Linked DNA regions of Drosophila melanogaster. The protein of the gene in region 1 purifies or fractionates together with the protein of each later gene. This does not show direct contact. Each region holds a gene or a part of one and is shown on either strand. Other genes may lie near its edges.

Region 1 (3,733 bases):
CCAGACATTCGCAGAGCCGTACCGCGAAAGGCACTCCTCGTAGAATCCATAGGATCGAGTGGCACTGCGGCACTCATGATTGCCCCGTAGCAGGCTAACTTGTGCCGGATGTCGCACCTTGAGAGCAGCTAGCAGAAGAAAGGTCTCCACGCTGTTCTTGCCCCGATCCACCAGGTCACCCAGGAACAAGTAGCGATGCTCCTGCACCGAACCGCCCAATTCCAGCAGGTGGAGCAGATCCTCGAACTGACCGTGAATGTCACCGCATACGATCTGCGGACTCTGCAGGCTCAGTAGATTCGACTCGCCGACGAGCAAGTCACTCAACGAGCGGCACAGCTGGCGAACCTCCAACTCCCTGGGCAGGCGGACCGGCACATGGCGCAGATTTTCCACCAGACGATCCGCATCATTCATTGCCTCGGGGCACAAGGCAGACATCATCTCTATTCTTAAGTCGGCGACGTCACTGGGCAACAGTGATGGGAAGGAAACTATTTACATATTGTGTTAGTTTATGAGCCAATAGATGAGTTAAATGATCAGGTGGCTAGGTTACAAACTATTTCTACAGTGCAAGCATTTAGTTCTCTCAATTATTCATAATTTAAAATAATAACAAATAACTAATACAAACAGTTCCCATCACTGTTGACCAACAAATTTGGGAGAATGCAAAACCACCGAGGCATTAGGCATTTGGCCAAGAGAAAAATGATCATCACTGACAACTATGAAATGTGAGGGGGAATAGAACAAGATGGATGTGGGCGGGGCAGGTGGTGATGCGAATCGAGGAGTTATATAAACATACCAGCGAACGGAATTAGTTGCATTTAACTTACATTGCTTTCAACGATGCGGGCCATGGCCAATGGAAAATCAATGCAGTCGCGGCTCAAATCCCTTATATAATCCGCGAATTGCAACGACACCACGCACTTAATTTTTATCTAACGAAAGCGAAAAGCCGACTAAACACTGATATGCAGACTAATCGGCGAGATGGTGAAAGCAATGTTTTCATTTCCACGCACTCTCCGTTTTAAGGAGAGAGCGCAAGAGAGTTTCTCTTTGCCTCTCTTGAACACACTATGATATCACCTAGAAAGAAAAGAAGAAAGAGAAGAAAGCCTATAATCAACAGAATCTTCAGACACACAGTAACTAACTAGTTGCATATATAGATTTTATAGAGATCAAGTGCAAATTTTAATCAAGTGCAAATTTTAATACCAATATTCTCGGCTACAAACAAAGCCGCAGTTCCAGGGCTGGTAAACTAATAGTGATAAAAACCAGTTGGCAGCCCACAAAGCATCGCCAAATAAATGGATTTTGTTATTAGGGTGATTCCTGCTATTCAAACGCCTTCAAATAATATATATATATATTCTTAATATTCTTAATTAGCAATTTGTATTATTATGATTTGTGACATTGGCAGCTATTAATTTAGGAGCTCCCACTAACTACTGTCAGTTATACATTAATTTGTAACAAAAATAACAAAAAAAAAATAAGCTGTGACACATAAAAAGTAAAAAATAAGTGTATTGAAACGTCATTGTCTGCCGACATCCCTTTATTATTTTCCATTATTTCTGTTCGTTCCTTTGATTTTTGCGTAACATATTATATGAAATTCTAAAAATATGCCACTGTGTATGTGTACTCCGTTAACTTATAAAAAAGGGGGTATTAGATTTAATATTTTTATAAACAATTGAAGAATTTATAATTCTTTATTAACCAGCATTTCTCGTGAATAGCCCTATTAATGAATATCGATATATATTCGCACAAGCACACGCGCCCACGAAACTATCGCCAGAGGTTTCTCACCTCTAAAAACCGATTTTCACTTCCTTTCTAAATCGCACGTTGAACAGAAAAGATGGCGTAAGTGTAAATCCAGATTTTAATATGTAAAAGAAAGCAACTAAACATTGGGTACATTAATGAAATTTGAATTCTAAGCGATCCTGTGATCAGTGGCAATCAGAAACCAGCTTTTTAGACCTTTTCCATGTCCATATCAGTTTGGAAATGATTGCAAAAGAAAAACGTGGTTTTATGTGCCAAATAAGCAACTAATATGTGGGCTGCCTTCATTTGCGCATTAGTCCGACAGTCAAAAAAAGATAAACAGCCAATGCTTGCAGTGTTCATTTGCCTTCCATTTGTTTGATAATTGGTTCAATCTTGCAGGTCGAAGGTTTCGCGTGATACGCTGTATGAGGGCGTCAATGGACTCCTGGAGGCTTCGGCGAAGAAGAAGCGCGGCTTCCTCGAGACGGTGGAACTGCAGATCGGCCTGAAGAACTACGATCCCCAGAAGGACAAGCGTTTCTCCGGCACCGTCAAGTACGTTGGCTAAGTCACCTGCGCACGTGCTTGGATAGAAGCTCCCATGGGAGTTGAGTTCATCACGTCATCAGGTAGTCGAGGACATGTGGCTGTCACATCTCGACGGACCTGCACTCAGGGTCTTTAAAATTTGAGTAGGTCTCCAGCAATGGACACCGAACCCCCATTTTCTTAATAACTATGAAAACGTGCTCCTCTGAGAGCCTTGTAAGTTTTCCATGAGGCCCCACTTATATCTACATCTATTTGAATCCACAAAGCACTGGCTAATTTATGGTTACTTTCTTGTCATCCCACAGGTTGAAGCACATTCCTCGTCCCAAGATGAAGGTGTGCATCCTTGGCGATCAGCAGCATTGCGACGAAGCCAAGGCCAACAACGTCGACTTCATGGATGCCGAGGCTCTGAAGAAGCTGAACAAGAACAAGAAGCTGGTGAAGAAGCTGGCCAAGTCCTATGATGCCTTCCTGGCCTCTGAGTCGCTGATCAAGCAGATTCCTCGTTTGCTTGGCCCTGGCTTGAACAAGGCCGGCAAGTTCCCTGCCCTGCTGTCGCATCAGGAGTCTATGATTGGCAAGATCGAGGAGGTTAAGTCGACCATCAAGTTCCAGATGAAGAAGGTGCTCTGCCTGTCCGTCGCCGTCGGCCACGTTGGCATGAAGTCCGACGAGCTGGCCCAAAACGTCAACTTGTCGATCAACTTCTTGGTGTCGCTGTTGAAGAAGAACTGGCAGAATGTGCGCTCCCTGCACGTCAAGTCCTCCATGGGACCGCCCCAGCGTCTTTACTAGATGCGCATACTTCATTTTTCTTACATCTTGAAATAAATAAGATCCTACATTTTTGTAATGTAACTTAATTTGGTTTTATTTTAGTCCTTATCTCTACAGTATTTATGTATATGAGAAGTCGGTGGTTGCACATCGATTTCTATGCCTTATATTTCAGTGGAGCTTATAGTTCTGGCTAGGAAATCTCTCACTTCTAGCGCCGCATGAGACTCGGCGTCCTCGCTGACTGAATCTGACAGCGGCTCTGCCCGGAATTTGGACACGTCCACCGAGTTGCCCCACTCAAGCATGTGTGGTTCGCTCAGTTCTTCCAGTAGATTGTGCAATACTGCGGCTGCTGTGATGATGCACGAGGCCGTATGGAAGCTAATGTCCAGGGGTTGGCTAAGGAAGCTCCAGCGGGACATGAGGCGATGCAGTGCGCAGTCACTCAATTCCTGCAGGTGCTCGGCAACCTCGTTGAAGTCGTGCTCGTGCGGAGCTGTCGGATCAGTATAGCGCTGCAAAAGCCAGGGACGCAGTGGATAATTCTGGTACACCGGGGCCAAGACAAAGGCCGGAACTAGTCGGG
Region 2 (4,895 bases), on another chromosome or scaffold:
ATAGCGTCCACTGTGTGCTCCAGGATGGGAGCTGCCCACTGGTACACCTGATAGGGCGTGGCTACACGCTCGAAGGCATGACGCATGGTGCGTCGCTTCTGGATGGTCTGGAAGGCACGTCGGAACGATGGTGATATGTGGGAAAGCAGATCGATCAGCGAGTGGCTGAGGTGGCTTGGATTGTCGGGCTTGGGATTAAAGGTGTCGTCTGTCGACTGGTTGATGAAGAAGCCCTTGGAACAGGCTGAGATGTGGAATCGTTTATCCTCCATGGTGACAACGTACAGATACATGAGGTCACCATGCAGCTTGCGAGGACCGGGTGGCGGGTTCCAGGCGGATGTAGTCAGTACCTTGAGAGCCTGCGGTCCCTTGGCGTTCTTCACATTTGGATGCAATGGCAGAATTGGCGGATCACTTACACCCGGAGTCACATACTCCGGCGGAGTGCAATCCACGGAGTCCGGTCGCGTCCTCTTCTTGTCCAGCAAATCACCCTGAGTGATCGTGTTTAAGTAGGTCAGCGAAGTACAGTCAATGCCATTGTACGCGTCGGCCGGGTCAAGGTTTTTGAGAAGATCACGGACATGGCGCACATGAATACGGGCCTCCCGCATGGTGTACGGCTCCTCTACCACTTTGATCGTCGAGCCCTGCTCAAGGTTATTGATTGACTTGAGTTCGGCGAAATTGTCGAGCGTCACGTTGTCCAGCTGCAGCGAGAAGCATGTACGATGGCACGTCTCTTCGCGGTCCATCAGCAGCTGGTGGATTTCCTGCACCAGCTCCATGCTGGACAGCTGCACGCAGAGCAGATCGGCGCCGGGACTGCTGATGTTCACCGTGATGCCAATGTCCTGCAGAGCGTCCAGATCAATGTCATCACCATCAGCCTCAGCATCCGGTGCTCCTCCTTCCTGCGGTTTCTCCACATTGGCATTGGTATCGGCATTGTCCTCAACTGCATCCACCACTGTGGGCTTCTCGGCGTGTCCGTTGCTCAGAACGGCTTCGGTTGTGGGTTCAGTTGGGCTTTTGTTGCGGTTCTTCTTGCCTACATGGGGCGATGAAGAAGTAATTTGTTGTTAGTCAATATTGGGAAAGGCATATGGAGCATTGTGTAACCTATTCGATGTATAGGGAGAAACGTGAACTTTGGACCGACTTTTGTTTCCATGTCTCTCAGAAGAATCTTGTATAAATCCGTTATTTATTTATTATGGTTCATTAGTATGTTTTTAAAAACAAAAGATTATTCTTAGGAATTTAAATTTCCAAGCAATGCTGCCAAGTTTATGTTAGAATTTAATGTTTACCATTCTTAATTTATAAATAGTGGTTTATATCTAGTTTAATAATTAAACCTTGATATTATTTGAAAAATGGTGACAGAATTAAAGGTAATGCAAATACGTTACACGTTTCTTTTCTAAAATTGTCTGGCAATATATAATAATTTAAAAAGAGGTGTCTCTACCTCCAGGCTCCGATTTTTACATAACAATACTGTCCGCACACTTTTGTCGCTCAGTTTGTCTGTGTTCGCCGGCAAGCTGTGTGCTTGCATATACATATAAAGGCATATGTACATACATTTACAACAAAACAGTAGAAAAACAAACAGAAAGAGAAAAGCGAGCTGATAAGGCCAAAGGGGCCGGGTTCGTTCGGAGTCCGTACGAACGAACAGTCCACCGAATAATCCAATCTCCTTTCGATCTCTCAGGAAAACGGAATGGGTTTAACACGACCATGCTAATTTCAACAGCCGTATACTAAATTACAGCACTGTGAGATACATAGAGATAGAGCTAGGGAGAGAGAATGAGAGAGGCAAAGAGAGTGGGGAGAGGAGAAAGCAAAAGTGATAAGTACAATGTTCATTAACCGCAAGGAATTCGGAGAGAAGGAGACAAAGTGTAGAGCGATGCGTCTACGGATAGAAAACATGATTTACATAATTGTCGAACAATTTGCGTGTGTTAAGTGCATGCATTTCGGGCCGCGCACGTGTTAATTGTAGGTTAAACGCAACAAGAAATCCGCCCGGGGGGTTAATGAACATTTCGTCGCCGTTGCCGGGTTAATAACATGTGCGTTGCCATGCCAAGAGGAAGAGAAAGAGCGAGAGAGATAGGGAGCCTCACACTTGCAGTTCTCACACACGCACTTAACTCCAATAATACACACACACACATTTACGATTGCAATTGTAACCCACGCGGTTTATGGAGAGAGGGGGAGAGGGAAGGCTCGTAAAAGGGGGTGGAGGGGCAGCCATAGACAACGGGCGCCGCTTTTAAGGCATTATAGGGAAGAAAAAGCCCATTACGTAATGTTAAAAATGTTATGTGATTGGCTTTTGTGGCAAATAATATATTGAGGCAGTTTCCAAGGCAGCAAAGCTAAGAGGAGGTGGTGATGGGTTGGTGTGTGGGTGGGTGGGTGGTTGATTGGTTGGTTGAACATGGGCGTAGGCGGAAAGTTAAACGCACCTTTCTTCTTCGCAGCCGGCCCGTCGGCAGCCGTGCCATTGCCATTGACCAAGTTCTGATTCGAATTCTGCTGATTCGAATTCGGATTCAGGTTCTTTTTGCCGCCGGCCGTGTTGTTGTTCTCCTTGGCCTTGCCGCTGGCCTTTGTTGCTGTTGCTGTTGCATCGCCCGTGGCCGTTGCATTTGAATTCTTCGCCTCCGTTTCAAGCGCCATGCTTTTGTTTCACCTGCTCGCCAAAAACTCAACAAAACCAGCGGAGGAGACACAGAGTTCTAGTTCACGTTTCTTTTTTTTTTGGGCCCGTCCGTCCGTGTTACACAACTCTAACCGCTCGCCGAGCTCGGGGTGATTTCGGTTCGATTTTCAGTGTCTTTCTGGTCGATTGCGAACGTGATTGTTGTTTGGTTAACGATCTCGTACGCATCTATGACAAGTGGGTCTTTGCTAGTTCTGTTCTTTTCAGCACATTACTTATCGAGGATATAAATCGGCCGATTCGCTAGAAAATAACGCGTTATGTTGTTAACGGCTGAGAGTGTGACCACCGGGTGAACATTTAAATATACCGCTGGCATTGGCTTGGTTGCAGTATTTTAATTAGTATTTAGTTATTTGCTGTGTATAATTGCAGATGGACAACAACTAGTGATAGGGATGCACACGCAAAAACGATACCAATATATATGATTGCATTTATTTTAACAACAATTGTGTTCTGTTTAATAAAAGGTAATTTATGCACAATACAAACTTATTTTTATTTAAAACAAATTTTTAAGCCTTTTTATAAAGTGCGTCATATTAGCGTCGTTGAGGAACAGTGAAATTTGTAACATGGGTAGGTTTTTTTTATTTTATTTGAAGGTGAATTTCTATTCAACAATTTTTAAAAATTAATTAATGTAAAGGGCCTGTTTTAAGGATGGGTTGGTTCATAGCTGGACCTACTGTTATGAAATTATCTCAAAAATTGAAATTTTCCTGAAATTCCACCGTTCCGCCATCGCCGCTAACTTATCGACTCTAATTTGACGCATACAATTTTACAGATCAAGCATAGTCCCCGTTAAGTTTTTTTTTTAATTCGGTGTGTATTTTTTACGACTTGTAATACAGCCACACATAAAATACTGTTTTTAACCAAACAAACATGTCGCTTATAAAGAATTTGGTAAAAGAGCCCGAACAGAAGGCAAAGAAAAAGAAAAAGAATGCGGGATCTGGAGAAAGCGATTCCGATGAGAAGGACAAGCCTCTGCGGCCGTTCATCAAAACCGCGACAGATCTACAGAGGCTGAAGCTGGAGAAGCTCATGAAGAATCCGGTATGTGTTTGCATTGGAAAGCTGGGTGGACATTCATATTAATAAACCTTTTATTGCCAGGATAAGCCCGTGGTCATACCGGAGCAGCGTCGCGAACGGGACTTCATGTCCTCGGTGCCCACGTTCGTGCGGAATGTGATGGGAAGCAGTGCTGGAGCGGGTTCCGGCGAGTTCCATGTGTACCGCCACTTGCGACGCAAGGAGTACGCCCGCCAGAAGAACATCCAGAACCAGAGTGCCCGCGAAGCAGCAGATGAAGCTTACCAGCAGAAGTTGGACGACAACAGACGCGCGGCCGAAGAAAAGACTGCTAAGAAACGAGCCAAACGGTTGAAGAGAAAACAGAGGGCGAAAAAGCCGAGAGAGGACAAGAAGCCACTGGCTAAGGAAGCCTCAGAGGATAGTAACACAGATTCCGAGGAAGAGCCCACAGAAGAAAAGGCAGAAAGTAGCCCTGAGGAAGGACAACAGGTGGCATCCAAGGAATCCGACGACAATAACACCCAAGAAACTTCGAATGAAGAGGCAGTGAATTCAAATACAGAAGCGAAAAGCGCAGAGGACACAAATGCAGTGGAATTAGATAGCACCGAAGCTACAAAGGAATCCCAAAATGTGGATCAAGAACAAGACAAGCCTGTGCCTTAGTACCTCCTGTTCTATTCCTATCAATAAACCGTTTAGAGTAATAAAACACAGTGCGGTTTTATTTATAGTACTTTTGTAATATATATATATTAAGCGATTTCTATACATCGCCAGTATCTAGGGGTTTTCATCTGAGGCCATCTTTCTAAAGCAGCTTGGTTGAGAAGAAAGCGTTTTGCGAATTATGCATTGAGTTGTCGTGGCTTTAGTGCGCATTTTGTTTTTTGTTGTCTTACATTTATAAGGTGCATCAAATGTTGCATTTTTGAGTATAATAAATGCTTTCAAAATTTGACATCGCAGGCAATACATTAATTATACCCTTGACAGAAATCCACCATTTTTAGTTCTGGGTATAAACATATTTTTTTCTGGTTTCTTGAAGAAGCAAGTTTTTATTGTTTTCAATAATTAGATTTCTTTGAAT
Region 3 (7,932 bases), on another chromosome or scaffold:
CAACGAGGAGCTGCACCAGCTAGTCAGCCTGCAGATGCAGGCGCTGGAGAAGCAGTGGGAACAGGAGCACGGCGGGCGGCATCATAAGCAAGTCGACCGACAGGAGCACCGCGGACGGTATGTTGAGCAATCCCAGCAAAGGACGCAAACGGAGCGGCAACAGGATCACAAGGGACGACGCGATAAGCCAGCGGAGCGGTTTCAGGAGCACCAATGGCGGCACAACGAGCAAACGCAGCACAGGCAGCGGTACCAGGAGGACAGAGGGCGGCATAACGACCAAATGGATCGTTTTAAGGAGCACAAGGACCGAGGACAGCGACAAGAGCATCGGGACTGGCGCAACGAGCGCAGAGATTGGTACCAGCATCATGATGACAGCCGGAAGAGAAGCCGCAGTCCGAGCAGGCATCGACATGGCGATAGGCGTCGGGAGGAGCGAGAGCCACGCGAGAAGCAGCACAATAGGCATCGCTCCCAAACCGCTCGTCATTAGAGCGGCATGTGATGGTGCCGCTTCCATTGGCAGCGAAACTGGTGGCCATTACATGGTGCTGTGGTCATTTGAGTCCAGCCGACTGTTTATTTGGGTACTCAGATAATGAACAAAGCAAAAAAAAAATCAGATAATTGTGGTCTATAATCCTGGCTAGCTGCGGGGAGCGTCTACTTGGTGGAGACGCGCGTGCGCTTGTTCCAGGCAAAGTTGATGCCGTAGTTCTTGACGCGCTCCTTCTTGGGCTTCGCGGCGCCGTCGACGTACCAGCGCCATCCGTTCCGTTCGCAGAACGTGATGGCCTCCTCTGGGGATCCGAACTGCACGTTCATGTTGGACAATGGGTCGCCGCTGGAACACGAGACGTTGACCAAGGTTGCCATGGCATGGTGGACGTGCCAGCTACTCACCTGGAGGCCCAGCCCATGAGCGGATTCTCCCAGCGCTCGCGGTTGTCGAACTCGATTTGCCAGGTGTTCACGTTATCGGTGCCGCTCTGCATTGCGTTCTTGGGCGGAATATGGATGCGCACACGGCGCTCCCGAATGTGCTCCTCCGGAACGCCGCTGATCGGGCTGAGATTGACGGCAGTCGGCACGGTGATCTTGCCACTCAGCTTGTTGCGCTGCTCCAGCTCTTCGGGGCGGGCCAGGGCCGTCTTGGGGTCCAGCGGACCGCCGTCCGTGGCGGTGGATGCCCAGCGGGCAGCGGCTGCCCTGTTGGCCTGGTACCTGCGGTGTCAAGATGCGAAAGTGGATAATTAGAGGGCTGCAGATTTGCCAGGTCGGATGCACTTGCTCCGGCCAGGCGGGGGTACCTACAGCTGCAGGGAGGCGGTGCTTCTGCACATCACTTGGCGGAGGGCCGACATTTCGCTAGGCGTTTGGGGCTACACGGCAGAAATCGGCTTCAAAATACGAATTACGTAAAATTTGGAACACAAGCGCTTTTCGATTGGGAAAACAGCTGTTCGCCAGTGCCAGTGTGACCAGGCGAGCGGTGAGTGTTTTTATTCTAATTGGAAACAGTGTGGCCCCTCGCCTTGGATGCGATGCCACAATAGTTCAAAAACAGTTTTCTTCTTTTTCACTTCGAACTTCGCAAAAACTATGAAATGCTGTTCAAGTGGTAAAATGAACTTTAAAATGAAAATGAATGAAATGAAATACACTGATGATGAACTAGAGAAGTAACTAGAACTAAAACTATGCTATTTGTAAGCCAACTGTTTAAATGATGAGCATTGCATTTGCCCAGTGCTGCCAGATATGTAGGTGTTCTTAGCTCCTTTTAGCTTAATTTCACCATTAGCTGATTATTGGCAAAGGAGCCCGTTTCGCTTATCGATTCTAATATCGATTTGAATCGGTCAGGGTCCTTATTCTTTCAGTTATTCATCGAACTGCGGAATGCCGCCGGCCCTACCACATGGCAATAGCGAAACGTTGTGGCAACGCCTCGCCTACTTGCAACTTTTGTGTCAATCAATACATGTTGAAAACAGATAAAGACACAAATTTTTCAGTTCATCTAAATTGCCACTGATCCAGGCAGAACAGCACGGCGGCAGAACAGTCCCATCCAGAACAGCGACATGGGCGTTCCCAAGTTCTTTCGCTACATCAGCGAGCGATATCCGTGCCTCAGCGAATTGGCGCGGGAGCACTGCGTAAGTAAAGCTGCTAGGTCACGTTATATGTTGCCATGCACCGTACGGTTCCTTTGCAGATACCCGAGTTCGACAATCTGTACTTGGACATGAACGGCATTGTCCACAACTGCTCGCATCCGGACGACAACAACATACACTTTCACCTGGAGGAGGAGCAGATATTCCAGGAAATCTTCAACTACGTAGACAAGCTGTTCTACCTGATCAAGCCGCAGCGCCTCTTCTTCCTTTCAGTTGACGGGGTGGCTCCACGGGCCAAGATGAACCAGCAGCGCAGCCGGCGATTCCGGACGGCGCGCGAGGCGGAGCAGCAGGAGGCCAAGGCGGCCCAGCGAGGCGAGTTGCGAGAGCACGAGCGCTTCGACAGCAACTGCATTACGCCGGGCACCGAATTCATGGTGCGTCTGCAGGAGGGACTGCGCGCCTTTCTCAAAACGAAGATTTCGACGGATCCGCTGTGGCAGCGTTGCACCGTAATCCTAAGTGGCCAGGAGGCGCCCGGCGAGGGCGAGCACAAGATCATGGACTACATTCGGTACATGAAGACGCAGCCGGACTATGATCCCAATACACGACACTGCCTTTACGGCCTGGACGCCGATCTGATCATTCTGGGCCTCTGCACCCACGAGCTGCACTTCGTGGTGCTGCGCGAGGAGGTCAAGTTCGGGCGCAACGTCAAGCGCACCTCGGTGGAGGAGACGCGCTTCTTCCTGCTGCACCTGGGTCTGCTGCGCGAGTACCTCGAGCTGGAGTTCGACGCCCTGAGAACAGACGAGCACAAATTGGACATTGCGCAGCTTATCGACGACTGGGTGCTGATGGGCTTTTTGGTCGGCAACGACTTCATTCCCCACCTGCCGTGCCTGCACATTTCATCAAATGCACTGCCGCTGCTCTACCGCACCTACATCGGCATTTACCCGACCCTCGGCGGCAACATCAACGAGAACGGCAAGCTCAACCTGCGCCGCTTGCAGATTTTCATATCGGCCCTCACCGAGGTGGAGCTGGATCACTTCAAGGAGCACGCCGACGACTTGAAGTACATGAACAACAAATCAGAGGCGTTCGACATGGACGTCGGCGAGATCACCGAGTCTCAAAACCTCGACTCCGATCTCGGAGCCCTCATCAACAAGAGCATGCTGGTATGAACTCTCTGCACTGACCGCCATCCCGTCATTTCCGTCCGCTCAATGCCGCCTTCCCATCCACAGCTCTACGATGACGACAGCGAGGAGGACTGCTCCGACGAGAACGCGGTTCTTCTGAAGGAGTTCCAGAACTACAAGCGAAACTTCTACCGCAACAAGTTCAAGCGTGATCCGAATGATGAACTGATCGAGGAACTGTGCCACCACTACGTCAATGCGCTGCAGTGGGTGCTCGACTACTACTACCGTGGCGTGCAGTCCTGGGACTGGTACTATCCCTTCCACTACACTCCATTCATCAGCGACCTCAAGAACATCGAGCAGGTGGAGATCGCCTTCCACATGGGCACGCCCTTTCTGCCATTCCAGCAGGTGAGCTGAGCACATTTAGTTAGCACCGATAACTTTCCTAGCATCAGGCTTACCATTTCTTAAACATAAACCAGAGCCACCAATTTAGACTATCATTTGCGTATCTCCTTTCTAACATATATCTATCTCCCTCTAATCCAATGGTGGTGCTAGATCATTTGGTTAAAGCAATCTTCTCAACCAAATTATCCATGTATCCATATATCTGCACACATACTAGATTTACTTAAGCCATCTGTCCAATCTTTCATATAAAGCTTCTGGCGGTACTGCCGGCGGCCAGTGCAAAGCTTCTCCCTGTCGCCTACCACGACCTCATGCTGCTGCCGACCAGCCCGCTGGCCGAGTTCTATCCACTGGAGTTCGAGAGCGACCTCAATGGCAAGAAACACGATTGGGAGGCGGTTGTGCTGATACCCTTCATCGATGAGGGTCGGCTGCTGGCCGCTATGCTGCCATGCGAGGCTCAGCTGTCGCTGGAGGAGCGCGAACGCAACCGACACGGTCCCATGTATGTGTACAAATACAGTACGGTGGCGCAGGGTCCCATGCCAGCGTATCCACCGCTGAGGGCTCTTCCCGTGCTCTACTGCACGGAGGTGGCCAAGTGGTCGCACGAAATCGCAGTCAATCTGCCGTACAGCGTGTGCATCGAGCTACCAAATGCGGCGAGAACCGTTTTCTTCCCGGGATTTCCCACCATGCAGCATCTGCCCTTCGATGTGAGTGACGCCGGGACACATGCATAACGCTCGCCATGTCCGCCATGTCTAATATGCTTGCTATTCTTTTCCAGTTCGAGCTGCGCAACGACCGCGTCAAGGTGTTCGAACAGGTCAGTCGCAACCAGAACATTGTGCTAAAACCACGCAAGCGCCAGCTGGAGGACACACTGACGGCGGTGGCCTCCCAGTACCTCGGGAAGGTGATCCACGTCGGCTGGCCGCATCTCGTCAAGGCGATAGTGGTGCGCGTGGCCACGCGAGATCAGCGCGTCGACAGCGAGGGAATCACGCTAAACGATTCGCGGCGTTTCGACTCGGAATGCAAGGCACTGCAGGAACAGTTGAGTGTGAAGCCGCCGTCTGGCCCTGCATTCACACTGCTAATGCTCCATCTTCCCTTTCCTCCTTCTCCTCCCACGACAGCTTTATCAATCGTATGGGAATACAGTTTGCCAACTATGATGTGCTCGTCTATGTGCGCACCTTTGCCGGCAATTCGACGGAGTTCCGCGACAAGGGGGCATTGATGGTGCGCGACTCGTGGAGCAGCTCCGTCACCGGCTATCCAGCCCAGGGCGTGGTGGCCGATCTGACTGTGTGGGAAAGAATGCGCAAGAATTTCCTCAACGTGGAGCACTACTTCCCCGTTGGCAGCACGATCTTCTTGATCACGGATCCGTATTACGGCAGCGAGGGAACTGTGCAGGACCCACGGCTGGCCTACACCAACGGCCGGATTCAAGGTAAGTTCGTCTCGCCATGTCCTTGACACCCCATCATCATTTCATCTCTGCAGTCAGCATCATGGTGCGACCGGAACCGAAAGTAAATGCGGCACGTCAGCTGCAGGAAGAGCGGGACCGGGACTATCTGAGCACCTTCCAGGTCTGCAACTTGCTCCGAATCAGTGGCCGCACCCTGGGACGCCTAAGTGGCACCGTGTGGGTGGTGCTCGGTCCGCGGCGTCAGAAGATGGAAAACGTGACCAAGCACAACATTGGCCTGCAGCTCAAGTATCCGCGGCAGAACGAGGAGCGTGCCGGATACTGCTTCCGCACGAACAACCAGTGGTACTACTCCAGCCTGGCCGTGGATCTGATGCGCAACTATTGCCAGCGTTACCCAGACGTTATCGACTTCTTTGGCGACTCCAACGATCGCGCCGAGTTCGTATTCGAACAGGACGTGTTCCCCAATGCGGTTGGCCATCGCCGCGTCGAGGAACTGGCCAACTGGGTGCGCCAGCAGCCGCACATGAAAGTGGAGCGCATCTCTTGCGGCTCCAAGACGGTCTGCCGCGAGACCATCGAACTGCTGATAGCCGCCGTCGACGACCTGCGCTCACTGCCCGTCAAGCACGTTAAACTGCAGGTGAAGCCGCACTTGCTCATCAAGCCCAATGTCACACTGCCAGATGTCTACCGATCAAAGCGCCCGGTGCGTCTCTTCGATCGCGTCGTAATCGTACGCACCATTTACATGGTGCCCGTGGGCACTAAGGGCACCGTGATTGGCATTCATCCCGTTACGGACCCCAACCCGGTCCGCCTGGAGTGCGTCCATGCTGTCGACACGTTCTGCAAGGTGCTGTTCGACAGCCCCGTTCCGAACTGCAACAACATCCATGGCATCGCCGAAGACCGAGTTTACAAGGTGCCCGAAATTGCCCTGGTGATCATCAAGACGGATGGTAAGTGGATTTGGCTGCATAGCCTACAGAATCGGAGGAGGCACATACATAGCAATGCTCCCACTTCCTCTCCTTGCAGAGGAAGGAAAGAAGCAGAACGACTGCGAACTGCCGGTGAGGGATCCTCAGCCGAACCAGGCACAGGACGAGCCAGTCCGCGCGACCAGCAGTCGCTATGTGACCGCCGCAGGGTCCACCTCGGTCCCGATCACGATGAAGACCCAAATTAGCGACGAATTCGTCAAGACGCGTAGCGATCCGATAGCCCGTACGGATTCGTACAAGCCATCGTCGGAGCCAAAACCGGTGCCGGTGCCGGAGCAGATTACCAACTGGCGGGAACGCGTCAGTACGCCAACAAACAAACCGCAGCCTGCGCCAAATAATTGGCGCATAAATCGGTCTTCATCACGTCAACAGGGCGGTAGTATTTTTGTTGCTCCGCCCACAAAAACTCCTGATGCAGCTGCAAGCACTGCTTCCACTGCATTCACCGCAGCCTCGTCCGCAACGCTGACTCCTCTGGATCAGACCTTGGCGCTCATGTCGGTTTTGGGCGTGGGTGAGGACCAGAGCTCGCCGCCACTCCAGGAGGCGGTGCAGCAGCAACGTCCGCCACTACTTCAACAGCAAAGAGCTCCGTTTCCCGGACAAATGCCCGTAACTGCTTTCAGCCCAGATGTGCCACCCAACCATGTGTTCACATAACTACTTTTCATTGCAGAATCTACCCAAGCCACCGCTCTTCTGGCAGCAAGAGGCGCAGAAGCAGGAGGCGCTGCAGCAGGAGGCGCAGCAGCAGGAGGCGCAGAAGAAGCAGCAGCAGGCGCATGCGCAAATGGAGCCTGAACGTATCAATAGCCAGCATTTCTACAGAAGCGGCCAGACAGGAGCGGCGTTGAATCAGCCGCCATTGGGTGCTCCATCAAAAAGGCAGTGGCATGAGTGGGTGCACCCGCGCATGCAGCACGCCAACGCATTCCACGCTGGCGTCAACAATGGATATCAGATGCGTCCCAAAAAGAATATAGCTGCGCAGAGCACCTTTAACAACAACGTGCACATGCACCTCCAGCAACCATATTACCCGAATCAGCAGCAGCAGCAGCAGCAGCAGCAGCCACTCCAGCTGACGGAGATCAACAATGCGCCACCGCGATACTCAACGATCCAAGATTTTGTGCCCATACAGGCGTACCGTCCCAAGAAATTAAATCGCGTCCAACCAGCCGGTCGTCAGGACGTCGATGCCACCAAGAATCCTAGTCGTTCGCCTGTGTTGCAGCAACCGACGAACGAGACTATAGACACAAAGGCCAGTTCTAGTCTTCCGGTACAATCAGCAGGCGAACAGGTGATTGGACTGATGCAAACGCTTGAAATTAAGGTAAGCATTGGCTACAAGTCAAAGCCTTGATTACCGAACTAATGCTTTCCTCTCGGCCGACAGCAGCCGGCTGCGTCGCAGTCCGAATCTGATGGGGTCTCAACAGGCAGTGCGAACGCGCCCACAGCAACGACATCATCCCAGGTAATGGAGGAGATAGAGATAGTTATTCTGCATAATTTACTCATTCCATTTACTCGCTTCTGTTGCAGGCGGTCAACCGAAGGAAGCATCGAGTGCCTCGCATCGGAGCCAAGTTCGACTTGGAATACATACTGCCCGACTCCCCGCATCCAACTTAAGAGCGAACAAATGGGTATTTTTAGGTTCAAATCCCACCTAGCTGAAGAAATGCAACGCTATTTGGATCTTATATCACCTTATTTCTATCTCTCCTAGTCTGTGCGAGGCACTAGAATTGCCGCACACGATA
Region 4 (4,773 bases), on another chromosome or scaffold:
GCGTATTTCACGAGGGTCTCCCCAACCGTTACCAGCGTTGCTGGAGTTTCCGCTACTACCTGTTGCGACTCCAGACGATCCAGTTATATTGCTTGACCCGTTACCTCCTTAAATAACAGCAGAAATATAAAAGTATTTCGGGTTAATGAAATAAAAGTTTCTGTAGAACTTAGAATAGGTAATTCCCCAGATAAGGCTCCAACTTCAATTACTACACTTTATGTTTTTATCATGTATTGTTAGTCACATTTTGAGGGAAAAGCTAGAGCCTTTATCTGATCGTTTGCGCTTAACTTCATTAATTCTAATAGATATTAGGCCTACCAGTTGATCCAAGTCCGACGCCAACGACACCTTGTCCCCACTGAGGTCCGCCAGACGAAACAACACCGCCTGGACCGACATTAACTCCGGCTTGGTTTACTCCCACTGCAGCTCCGGATCCCGCGTTGCTAACAGCTCCTCCAGTCCACACACTACTACTATCGGCGCCATCGTCGTCCTCACCCCATGTTCCACCTAAGTTAGAGGATGGTGTATGACCCCACGACGGCTTTGGAACTTGCTGTGCGGCCGGCTGACCTCCGTTTCTCAAATTGGACTCCCAAAGATCAGTACCATTGTTAATGCTTGGCTTCCACATTGGTGGACCGGGTGCATCCTTATTGGCTGGTTCTGGCGAACTGGGAACTTCCCAATTAGTATCCTGGTTAACATGCTGACAGCCCCAGCCATCTTGGGAAAAAAGGGCTTCACGCATAGTGCTCAAGTGTTCTAACTGATTGTCAGCTTCAAAAGTAGCATTCCTTACTATTCCAACATCCACTTGATCTTTAACTTCATTATCATAAGCATTTATGGCAATTTTTAAAAGTTATTTAATTTAATCGAAAAGGAATGACTTAATCTGAATCCTTGTTCTTTCCGTGTTCTGTAGAAATATAGAAAACATTTATTATTTTTATTACAAAATATTCATTCTAAATCAAATTGCTAAGTTCTTTTTTTATTTTCTTGTATATACACAGGATAAATAAACTTAATCACCGTGATACGTTTATGCTTTATACACATTATTAATAGAGTAAAATGGTATATGGTATACCAGATTTGTTCTAAAGTATGTTACATAGCGGAAGCGTTTTCGACATAAAAGCTAGACAGTTGAGAATAAGCATGCAGATTCTAGTGACCCCTACGTTGTGCACGTTTGTTTTTAGTTTTTCTATTGTTCGTTGTTCTTAAAAAATTTTTTAATTCTGATCAGCTTTTCGTAGGCTTAATCAATATCTTCTTTACAGATTTTTAACTGCATAACATCAGTTAAAATTCTGAAGGAGAAATCATAAAAATTTAAGCTTTATAATCGATTCAAAAAGTCTGAGGACATACATATGGGTATATAAGAGTGGGAGTCATTTGACAGGAGTTAAACATGTATACTTAGTATGTACATAAAGAATTTTAAAAATGAAATATGCATCGCGATCGCTGACCTACCAGGTCTGCTGCCCAACCGGCAGAATCCCCACCCACATTAACGACAAATTCCTGTGTGAAAAACGAATGCATGTCAAAAAATAAAACAATTAAATTCACAACTCTGTAATGGTATATAAATATACATATGCATATGTACACAAGTAAAATGAATTTGTCAACTCTGGGCAGGCAGACATTGACGGAAGCACCCTATTTTATGTCTCCCTTTCCTAATTTCGCACTTGCAATTATGCTCAAATAAACTTAGAATTTAAAATGTATTTACACAACCTGTATATATGCAAGTATTGGCAAAAAGACTAATGCGATAGATATATACATGTATATACATTTGTATGAATACATTTTCAGTACTCTAGTGCATATGTAGAGAAGTCATTGTACAATACTTAGTATATTCGCGTGTCTTGTACCCTATGTGTAGAAATACAAGCGAAAAGCTGAGAACGTCACAAAATGGAGATCTAACTAAAACCTACCAAACAGAAATTAGAAATTAATATCTATTGCCAGAATATGCGTTTATAGTAAAATTGAACACTTGTGTATACGCTAATAGTTCACCGAATATTTGCAACAATTTTTGCCTTTACTGAACGAGAAGTTGATTTTCTCTATATATGTAAATATATGTGCATTTTTGTGTGTATGCATGTCAAGCCACTTTGACGAGTTCACAAAGTGTGTATGTGTTGTAAAACATACACACATTCGACAATCAATTATAGTTTTTCATATTTCACAAAATAAACTGGGATTAATAACAATCTTGAATGCGAAAACTGATTAGACTCAACAATAATTATAATTCGATGTAATTGAATATAAATTTCTGCGCACGTTCGACGATGGGGACGGCAGTTACTAGTGTATTAAATAAACCCATACAGATATTCCTGCTTGCAATATTGCCACCTAGTCAAAATTTAAAGACGGAATGGAAAGGTATGTGGAGTATAGACTAATGCAAATATGCAAAATGCTTACTTTATTTTTAATTACACTATTACTAAATTTTAACTGTTGGTGTGGAAAACCTCAAAGCAAATGCGACACATTTAAATTCCCTATTGCTTTGTCATTATGTAAAAGATTTAAAGCGTGGCAACTCTTGACTGGAACATATGTACATATAGACTTTTCCAATGCACGATACACAAGCGAACAGAATTTATTCTGCACTGATACACACATGCGTATGTCCGAAACTAAACGCTTGGGTTTTTGCGACCATTTAGGTTATGCACACTTAGGTTATGTCAGAAAGTTTCGCTTTTAATCGTACTGAGTACGTCTTCAACCATACATTAAAATTATTCTACTTCAATTTAGCTGCATTACTCCGTACATTCTATCCGTGGTGGGCTGTTGGCAATCTTTTCGTTTTAATGACAAAGCGCTTGTTTTCGAAAGATTACGCACACAAAAACATTCACTACTCGTGCTAATTCATTTTAACACACGCAATTTAAATAAAAAGTAACTATACGATGCTCTCACTCGCACTTCGCCTGGATCACGACAGACTCTTCTAGGTAGATGTCCGATATTTTCTTAAACTAATCGATATTAATCAATCTTAGGTAATACCCAGTTTACACAACTGCCTAAAATAAGTGCTGTGACCCGTTCACATCGAAGAGGTCAGATAGAGGGTACACAACAGAAGGATTAATTGATTAAAATAAATTAGCTGATATAATTTAAATTAATTCAAAACAGAGCTGTTTCAAACAAGTTCCAACTCATATAACTCTCGACCATTTCTAACAATTCAAATGAAATTTAAGGGATTAAAACAATACAGTGAGATAACATATGCATTAATAAATTTTAAAGCTTGAATGCCTTATTGAAGTGAGAATTGAAACAGGTTTGGGCAATCCATTAAATTCATAACTTATTTTATTAAGTCTATGTTAAAAAAGAATCCTTAATAATGTAATGTATAAAGTTTGGACTTACGACCGATTAATATTAATGTGTATGTTTTGGTGTTTTGCCTTGAAATCAAATGAAATTATGTTCTAAAATATCGGCTCTCCTTCGACTATCTATGAGATTTAAATAGGTTTTACCAATTGCTAAGAAAATCGAAACCCTTAGGCATTTTTAGTTCAGGGGATAACAGTTTTGTATTTTCGTCTTGACGTGCATCTTTAAATTCGTTTTCATAATCAGACAAGTCGTTTAACACACTGTTTTTCGATCCACATTTAACGAGCAGTTGCATTTTCTCATTAGATTCAATACATTCATCAATATAAACAGTTTGGGTTTTTGAGAAGTTTTCATGAATGGAAATCTTTCTTTCCGTTGTGTTAACGCCGGTTTTATCATTAGAATTAAGGTGGAGAATTGGTATTTTTTTATTGGTTGAATCTTTTGTCTTCAATTTTAAATGAATGGCCTTTTTTACGCCTAATGGAGTTTCAACAAGACAGATATCATCAAATTCTTTTAATACTATGTTAATTTGTGATTTGGTTCGATAAGAAAATGGAAACGAATGTTCATCTTGAAAATCTCCGGTGTTTTCATCGCGTAATATTTTTAAACCAACGTTTTGATAATTATATGTGTGTAAATCTTGGCCGTTATATAAATATACAATGTCTCTGAAACAAAATTTACGGTAATCATTTTTACTAACTTCAGTATTTTCGTACGGATCCTGTGCCGCATAGTTTTCTTTAGTCTTATGACAGTACTTAGAAAATATAACAGGATCTATTAATTGGTTATTCAATATTTTTTCCTGTTCGTTTAAAGTCAATTTAAGCCAAGCGTCTTGGTTGTATGTAGATTTAACTTTATTGAGATCGCAGGTAATTTTTTCGGAAATTGAATTAAGACGTGAGAAGTATGACTGAGCCTCATCGTGTGTTGTCATTTTTGATCTGAAAATAAATATGGTTTGCTGTATTAAATGGTTAGCGGAACGTTAGATTCTATCATAAAATCGAATAATTATATTAACCTGAATTCTTGAAAAAGTATTTATAATTCTTTTATACTCTTCACTCGTAAAGTAAGGGGGTTATTAAAAATTAAAAAAGAACATAACAGGTGAACAAAAAGGTTTCCGAGACTAGTTAATGAACTTCGGGATTTGGACACTATATGATGTCCAAACCGAAAACAAATGCAATAAAAAAGAAATATATAACCTTAGAATCAAATTAGCCCACCTCTCCTTTATTTACATTACTAATTTTTGGTAGCCAGAGGAGTGCTTCCCGACATTACAACATTCATAGGGGCAGACGG

What was found.
Region 2: the proteins of RpL10Ab (region 1) and clu purify together in Drosophila melanogaster (affinity purification with western blotting, with the first as the bait; one study listed by BioGRID). This does not show direct contact.
Region 3: the proteins of RpL10Ab (region 1) and pcm purify together in Drosophila melanogaster (affinity purification with western blotting, with the first as the bait; one study listed by BioGRID). This does not show direct contact.
Region 4: the proteins of RpL10Ab (region 1) and gw purify together in Drosophila melanogaster (affinity purification with western blotting, with the first as the bait; one study listed by BioGRID). This does not show direct contact.

Annotation. Positions count from the first base shown.
Region 1 is NT_037436.4:11,820,989-11,824,721, forward strand, and holds RpL10Ab (ribosomal protein L10Ab), read left to right. Parts: upstream 1-1,862; 5' UTR 1,863-1,897; coding exon 1,898-1,902; intron 1,903-1,995; exon of another isoform or gene 1,996-2,136; intron 2,137-2,211; coding exon 2,212-2,367; coding exon of another isoform or gene 2,368-2,380; exon of another isoform or gene 2,381-2,577; intron 2,578-2,669; coding exon 2,670-3,162; 3' UTR 3,163-3,223; downstream 3,224-3,733. Other genes in the region: CG5946 (uncharacterized protein), read right to left, coding at 846-869; CG11597 (uncharacterized protein), read right to left, coding at 1-444; CG32095 (uncharacterized protein), read right to left, coding at 3,309-3,733.
Region 2 is NT_033778.4:16,184,737-16,189,631, reverse strand, and holds the start of clu (clueless), read right to left. Parts: upstream 3,049-4,895; 5' UTR 2,710-3,048; coding exon 2,496-2,709; intron 1,744-2,495; exon of another isoform or gene 1,478-1,743; intron 1,055-1,477; coding exon 1-1,054. Other genes in the region: CG8441 (uncharacterized protein), read left to right, coding at 3,647-3,820, 3,881-4,468. UniProt on the Drosophila melanogaster protein: mRNA-binding protein involved in proper cytoplasmic distribution of mitochondria.
Region 3 is NC_004354.4:19,485,972-19,493,903, reverse strand, and holds the start of pcm (pacman), read left to right. Parts: upstream 1-1,892; 5' UTR 1,893-2,090; coding exon 2,091-2,165; intron 2,166-2,224; coding exon 2,225-3,319; intron 3,320-3,388; coding exon 3,389-3,697; intron 3,698-3,954; coding exon 3,955-4,419; intron 4,420-4,493; coding exon 4,494-4,762; intron 4,763-4,845; coding exon 4,846-5,165; intron 5,166-5,218; coding exon 5,219-6,112; intron 6,113-6,191; coding exon 6,192-6,772; intron 6,773-6,836; coding exon 6,837-7,499; intron 7,500-7,562; coding exon 7,563-7,643; intron 7,644-7,711; coding exon 7,712-7,801; 3' UTR 7,802-7,932. Other genes in the region: CG12204 (uncharacterized protein), read left to right, coding at 1-496; ND-18 (NADH dehydrogenase (ubiquinone) 18 kDa subunit), read right to left, coding at 667-847, 907-1,227, 1,318-1,367.
Region 4 is NC_004353.4:657,578-662,350, forward strand, and holds the start of gw (gawky), read right to left. Parts: upstream 3,032-4,773; 5' UTR 2,852-3,031; intron 2,407-2,851; exon of another isoform or gene 1,983-2,406; intron 932-1,982; 5' UTR 761-931; coding exon 325-760; intron 108-324; coding exon 1-107. Other genes in the region: CG46466 (uncharacterized protein), read right to left, coding at 3,578-4,396. UniProt on the Drosophila melanogaster protein: Required for gene silencing mediated by micro-RNAs (miRNAs). Silences both polyadenylated and deadenylated mRNAs. Required for miRNA-mediated translational repression and mRNA decay. Not required for miRNA target recognition.